2 linked regions of the Ovis aries genome follow. Each later gene encodes a partner of the first gene's protein in a complex. Links are inferred from orthologs where the notes say so. Each region holds a gene or a part of one and is shown in the gene's direction. Other genes may lie near its edges.

What was found.
Region 2: the proteins of CACNA1S (region 1) and STAC2 are in contact, whole or in part, in a crystal structure (PDB 6B27), measured with the Homo sapiens proteins. The link is inferred for Ovis aries from reciprocal best matches to the Homo sapiens genes CACNA1S and STAC2. Residues at the interface, in NP_000060.2 of Homo sapiens: Glu749, Pro750, Glu751, Ile752, Pro753, Ser755, Pro756, Arg757, Pro758; in NP_945344.1 of Homo sapiens: Tyr301, Lys302, Phe303, Gln306, Glu307, Asp310, Asn326, Asp328, Trp329, Phe340, Pro342, Asn344, Phe345.

The regions. Positions count from the first base shown.
Region 1 is NC_056065.1:79,057,417-79,061,679, reverse strand, and holds the start of CACNA1S (voltage-dependent L-type calcium channel subunit alpha-1S), read left to right. Parts: upstream 1-1,404; 5' UTR 1,405-1,489; coding exon 1,490-1,641; intron 1,642-3,027; coding exon 3,028-3,133; intron 3,134-4,263. Other genes in the region: ASCL5 (achaete-scute homolog 5), read left to right, coding at 1-72. UniProt on the Homo sapiens protein: Pore-forming, alpha-1S subunit of the voltage-gated calcium channel that gives rise to L-type calcium currents in skeletal muscle.
Region 2 is NC_056064.1:39,451,285-39,453,840, reverse strand, and holds the end of STAC2 (SH3 and cysteine-rich domain-containing protein 2), read left to right. Parts: intron 1-333; coding exon 334-438; 3' UTR 439-1,837; downstream 1,838-2,556. UniProt on the Homo sapiens protein: Plays a redundant role in promoting the expression of calcium channel CACNA1S at the cell membrane, and thereby contributes to increased channel activity. Slows down the inactivation rate of the calcium channel CACNA1C.

The DNA.
Region 1 (4,263 bases):
CGGGCGGCGCCCTCCCTGGCGCCCGGCTCGGCCGAGCCCTCCTGCGGCGAGTCGGAGGAGTGCAGCCACTGAGCAGGCTGCGGCCGCCCGGGCTCGGGGGGCTCTGGGTCCCCGGGGTCCCCGCCGACCGACGCTACGGGGTCCGCCGCATCCTCCCTGCGCCAGCGCCACCCCGGCCCCGGCCCCGGCCCCGGCCCTTACAGCCGGCGGACACGGGCACGAGAGAGGCCACCCTGGAGTCGGGCTCCGGCTTGGCCTCAGCCCCGCGCGGGAACAGGTCTAAGCCCAGGTTCCGGTGTGTACTCGGCCACTGCAGCCCTGATCTGTAAACCCCGGGCCCACAGGCGCAGCCCAGAAGGCAAGCCTGCTTTGATGGGCGGGCCTCGCCTGGACTCTCCAGGAGATGGCCTCAGACACCAGCGTCTCTTTGGGAGCTTGCCAGCCCGCCTCCCAGGGACACCCAGAGGGTGAGCTGCAGGCCCGGCAGCCTGCACCCAGCCCAGGGTGGGGTGGCGGGGGAGGTCGTGTGGCCCGTGCTGCTCCCTGGCTTCCTTACTGGAGGACCCAAGGCTCCCAGCCCGCAGCCCCCAGCCTGCAGTGTGGCCTTTTCCTTTCCCAGGTCGGGAGGGGACTGCTTCCCCTCATCCTGCGCTCCGTGGCATGCAGGCCGCGTGGGTGTATGTGCTGTGTTTGCACCAAGGGGCTAAATAAAGACGCTGGGCTCTGTGGTTCCGGGTCACTGTCCACCTCTTTTCCCTGGCGACCCAGTCTCCTTCCACTCAGAGCACTTGCCTGCGGGGGGTGTGGGGTGTTCTGTTCGCTTATGCATTCAGCTGACGTTCACGCAGAGCTCAGTACCTGCCGGGGCAGAGTCCCAGGGGCAGACACCTGCCCCTTGCACAGTTAGGGGCGGTGGGGTGAGGTGGGGAACAAAGGTGTGTACACCCAGGAGCCCCCCACCCCGGGGCGTGGGGGTGAGAGTGGAGGGTCTTGGCCAGACGGCTGCGGGTGGAGATGGGAGGGAGGGCTGTGGACTCCTACTGAGCCGGGCCACCCAGCACCTTTTCCGGATGGTGTCTTGGGGTGGGGAGGGGGACTAATCTTGACATCCAGGAGCTGGTGTCGGTGGTCCCTCCGTGGGCTCAGTGAGTCTGGGGGCTCCAGATCACTTCCTGAGCTCTCTGTCCACAGCTCCAGCCTGGGCCTGCGTGTGACCCTCCCCCTGCCTCCTTGGGGACATACCGGGATGCCGCCGGCTGGGCTGGGGAGGGGTGACAGCTGCCTGGCTGTGGAGCCGGGGGCTGGTCAGCGGGGAGCCAGAGGAGGCTAATTTTACCCCTGGAGCAGGGAGAGTGATCCTGCCCCGCCCGGCTGGCTCAGCAGGGCAGGCGCCCCAGCTCAGCCACCCAGTCCAGGAGGCGGGGGTGCTGGGCCGCAGGGAGGAGAGGGCAGCGGTAGGCGAGCAGGACAGGCCGAGGCCGCGGGAGCCATGGAGCCGGCCCCAGCCCAGGACGAGGGCCTGCGGAGGAAGCAGGCCAAGAAGCCCGTCCCGGAGGTCCTGCCCAGGCCGCCCCGGGCCTTGTTCTGCTTGACCCTCCAGAACCCTGTGCGGAAAGCCTGCATCAGCATCGTCGAGTGGAAGTATCCTTCAGGGGCTGTGCGGAGGGGAGGAGGGGGCTCAGTGATCACAGGCTCTGGGGGCCCGGCACTGGGGCCCAGGGGTGCAGCCGGGGGCTTTGGGAAAGGCAGCCCTGGCGCGGACGCAGGGGGCTGGGGGCAAGGCGCAGGGCCCCAAGGCCACCTCTGGAAGGTGCTGGAAGGCGTGGAGGCCCTGACATGGGATGGGGTGGCGGGGGCCGGCGGGGCTGGGAGGCCGGTGGGGTGGGCACTGAGCTCTGTGCAGACATCAGGCCCGGCTGGGCCGCACGCCCTGGGTACAGGGACGTGACCCCCTCCACGCTGGCATCAGCTCCGGGAGGAAGAATGATGAAAACGCCCGGCTTGCTGGGGCCAGGGGGACAGGCATGAGGCAGAGGGAAGGCTGTTGTCATGGGGGTGCTGAGCGCACCGGCTGGGAATATTTGGAATATTTCTGAGGGGCTTTGGAAGACCGGGCTCCCACCAGCTGTTGCCTAGAAGATAGAGAGGGAGGGAGCTGCAGGGGCAGAGAACCCGGAACCGGGGCGCCTGGTGGGACCGGGCCTGCCCCCACACTGCTGTGCCCACCCCGGGGCCCCCTGCCCGTTCCGTCTGGGGGGCCGAGGGCCTCTCTCCTGTCTCCCGGCGCCTCTCCAGGCCTCTGCCCTGAGGCCACCTCTCCCCAAACCCAAGGAAGGTGGCTGGAAAGGGCACGGGGCCTACCCGTGAGCTGTGGACACAGGGCGCATCCCCGCTATCAGCTCACGCACACCTCCGCTCCTCCATCTTCACCCCTCAGTCCCCACCACCCGCACCTCCCCTGGCGGCCTCCCCCAGGGCCCCTACTGCTCACCAGCAAGTCCAGGGAGCCTGGGGGTGCCCTCTGGCAAGCAGCTGGCTCGCCCTGCGCAGGGGGTGCTGGGACCTGGGGGTGCAGCTGCCGCGGGGCAGTCTCCCCTGCTCAGGCCACAGAGGCCAGGTTTCAGGGCACACAGCCGCTCCCTGTCCTGCCCCAGGGGCCTCACCTGGCTCGTACCAGCCCAGCCTCCCTGGCTGCTCCTCCGAGGCCCGGAGGACTGTCTGACTGTAGCGCCTTCAAGGGGACAGAGGGGTGGGTGGCCGGGCGAGAGGTGGGGGTGTAGGGACTGAGATGGGACTCAAGACTCCCTGAGCGTTGGAACTGAGTAGCCCCATACGGGAGCCAGTGCCTCGAGGTCCCTGAACTTCTCAGTCAACCCCCTGAAGGAGGAGGGTCCCCGCCCGCACCCCCGCCAGGAGCAGAAGTGCGATGTGGGCCCGTCGCTGGGCCTCGGTGTCCACAGAGACCCCCCGTGCACTCTGCTCCACCCGCAAGTCCCGCGCCTCACTCTCTCCTTGACTCTGCCGCAGACCCTTCGAGACCATCATCCTACTCACCATCTTTGCCAACTGCGTGGCCCTGGCCGTGTACCTGCCCATGCCGGAAGACGACAACAACAGGCTGAACCTCGGCCTGGTAAGAGAGTGTGGTCCCGCCTCTGCTGGCCTGCTGCCCAGTGGGGGATGCTGGAGCTTCACCCCCACCCCCCTGGGAGGGTAGAGACCCCTGTCCCCGAGACTTGCAGGGGGGGCTGAGCGGCTCTGAGCTCCGCAGGGAAACCTGGCTGGGCTGGATTCCGTCATATCAGCAGCCAGCACTGAGCAAGTACCCGCTGTGCCAGCTCCGTGCTAAGTGCTGAGGCAATCCAAGCAGGGGCTGGAAAGGAATGTCCAGACTTGGGAGCATTTCAGAAGGGAATGAGTTTGCTAAGAACAAAGATCAGAGAAAACAGGGGCCCTGCGAGCTCAGCGGGCTGACCTCCTAACAGGCCGGAGAGAGGCAGCGCTTTCCTGGTTTAGAAGCCAGTTTTTATAGCCTCAAGACAAAGAAAATTCCTGCTGGCAGGTTGCTGCTGGGTGATTGGTTGGGTGGACTTCCCAGGTGGCACTAGGGGTGAAAAACCCACCTCCCAAAGCAGGAGCTGTAAGGGACATGGGTCCATCCCTGGGTGGGGAAGCTCCCCTTGGAGGAGGGCATGGCAACCCGCTCCAGTATCTCTCCTGGAGAATCCCATGGACGGAAGAGCCTGGTTGGCTACAGTCTTTGAGCCACAAAGAGTCAGACGAAACTGAGTCAACTTAGCTCGCGCGCACGCACGGTTGGTCAGAGTGCTATAGGTTGAGCATGGGGTCAGCGTTTTGGCCTAATTTGGAGTCAGGAAGCTCGTTAGTGATGATCAGGGGGCTTTGGCAAAGGTTACGAAGGGCCTCAGTCAGCTTTGGAGGTGGCCTTGGTTCTGGCTCCACCCCTGTGGCCGCAGGACTCACTGCTGAGCACCGTGTGAGAGTGGGCTGTGTCCTCCGCACCACAGCCCCTAAGCCAGTCCCGTTCGGCAGATGCAGAGACTGAGGCTTAGTGAGGCCAGTGACGGGGCTGAATGCTGATCTCCCTTCCCTGGGTGTGACTTGGAAGAAACGCGCTTCTGTGGAGCTTGCTTTTCTGCGGGAGTTTATGTCAGCACCACGCTCCCTTCGGCCCAGCACCCACAACACGTCCACAGGCCAGGGAATGCCGCAGCTGGAGGGGGTTTCCTGGGTCAGGTTGTC
Region 2 (2,556 bases), on another chromosome or scaffold:
AGTCCAGAGGCTTAGGTCTGAACGTTATTGTCAACCACGGGCAAGTCCTTTCCCCACTGTTACCTCCTCTGGGAAACGGGGAGTTTGTCAGGGGCATTAGACCAGCTGATCTCAAAGGTCAGCCCCGAAGTGCTGCTCCGTGTCTGCTGTCCGCTTGGTTCTTGCTGCTGTGCCCTGGAGTCTCATGGGATCTGCTCCCATCACCCCTGCTCCAGCCGCATCTGATGCTGGTCCCATCATCCCTTGGGATAGGCCCCATGGGAGGCATCAGCAGGACTCGGGGCCAGGGAGGTAGGCAGTGCCAGGCCTCAGCGTTGTGTCTCTCCTGCTCAGATCTGTGTGGGTGTGGGCAGGAGCAAAGATGCTGACGGCTTCATCCGCGTCAGCAGTGGCAAGAAGCGGGGCCTGGTTCCAGCCGATGCCCTGACCGAGATCTGAGAGAAGCCAAGAGGACCCAGAAGCCGCCTCTGCCCGTGCCCAGCCCTCCTAGCTTCTGGCCCCTCGGGGGGTTCCCTCTGCTCCTCTCCCAGGGGCCATTCACCATGGCGTGGGAGCTTTCTGTACTGAGAAAGGTGTTATTTCTGGGGTCCTGGGGTGCCCTGAAGAGGTTGCAGCTCTGAGACTTGGGGGTGGGGAGGAGGAGAAAGTGGGAGGCAATGGCAAAACTCCAGGTGGGTCCCCCCGGTCCAGTTGCCATGCAGAGTCCACAGCCCTGAGAGGAAGTTCCTGAGGAACATCTGGGCTGCCTCTTCCAGAGAGCCTACCCCTGCCCACCACACCTTTGCATGCCTGACACCGCTCTCCTCACAGAGCCTCTGCTTGGGCCCTTGTATGTGTGACCCTGCAGCTGTCACTTTGGGAGTGGGGCCCTCCTGGGTCCCTCAGCCCCAGCTCCGGGTGGGGAGGGAGCTCAGGGCTGTGGGAGGACCCTGGTCTTATCACCTCTGTCACTCCATCAACTCTCAGGAAAGTTCTGTGGCTCTCTCTCCTGTTACTTGAAACTTGGGTGGACAGAAGAGGGGAGGGCTGAGGTCTGGGGAGAGTGTGGCAAATCAGAGGCTGTCCCCTCCAGTAGGACAGTCACCAGAGAGCAACCTCACTCTACCCTTGTTCACTGGGAGAGGACACATCCAAGAGCTGCCTGCACACAGAAACCCACCGGCCCACCTGATCAAAACAATCCCCATTTCACTGTCAGGACTCTGAACGCTCAGTTCCTGTCCCAGGCCTTGCCAGGCCTGCCCCAGGAACCCCACCCTCAGGACTGACCTTGCAATAGCCCTCCCTTACCCCCTCCCTCGGGGCTTTGTGGGGGACAGGGCTGCCGTTGCAGGGGGCCCTTTTTCTGGCTGCATCCGGTCCCTTTTCCAGGACACAGCCCTGGGAGGAAGCAGGAGTGGGAGACAGTGAATTCTGTTTGACCACCAGAAAGGGAAGGGGGTAGGCATGCTGGGGGAAGGGGTGTGTGGGGACACGCAAAGAGGACCCCTCCCTTGCAGGCTGGTTTTCTCTGGTGCCAACCTCCCTTTCCTCCCCAAGCTCTGAGCCTCCTCTTGTGCCCTTGATCGTGCCAGCCAATGCCACCCCCATCCTGGGCACAGTCACACCCTCCCATGTGGTGGGAGGGGCACACGCTCCTACCCACTGGCCCCTGCCCCACCTCTCCCTCGCAGAGGGGAAGGAACTCAAGCCACACTGCCCTGTTTGCTGCCATGAGGCCCCCCGCCAGCAATATCCCAGGGGCGGGCCCAATGCCCACTGTACATGAGGCTGCATGAGGAGTCTGCTGGGGCACTGCTGAGCCCCCAGACTCCTAATTAAATGTTTCTTGTCCCAACCTGGCTGTTCTATGTATCTATCAGCTTGGGTCAGAGGAAGGGAAGGGGTGGGCGGGGCCTGGGGGTGTGGTGGGTGTGGACCAAAATAGGAGAGAGTCTGAAGGTGGAGAGTGCGTTCATCTCTGAGAGGAGGGATACAGGGGCTGGGCTGGCCCTGACAGTGAGGGTCCCCACGCCTCCTCACTCCAGATCTGAGGAAATGGAGGAGGAGGTTTGGGGGACGCTGGAGGGAGAGAGAGTGGGGCTGCGGTCATTTTCTAGATCGATGTGGACCTGCGTCGCGCAGCGGGCGGGCATGCACCTCCGCGTTTCTGCCCACCCAGAGGTGCTTCCGGAGACCAGCCGAACCCAGGGTCTGGCGGCCTCAATATCCACCCGAGATCAGCCTCGCCCCCGCAGCCCCCTAAGCCCGAGGCAGATACGTTGGCGGACCGTGCGGCCCTGAGATGACTCAATCACGCCCATCATTGGGAGCCTGGCACAAGGGGGCCCCAGTGGCGCCCCTCCCGCCGCAGTGCCCGCCGCCCACCTGCTCGGCAGAGCCGCCTTTCCCCTCCGGCACGCCGGGCCGCGTCATCGCCCAGGCGAGCACGTCCTGGGCTATTTATAGACAGAGGGGCGCGCGCCGAGGGAGAGAGAGGCGGGCTGCGGAGGTGCCAGGGCAACCGCGTGCCGCCAGAATGCAGAACGGGTGGGGGGCCTGTTCCTCCGGATGGGC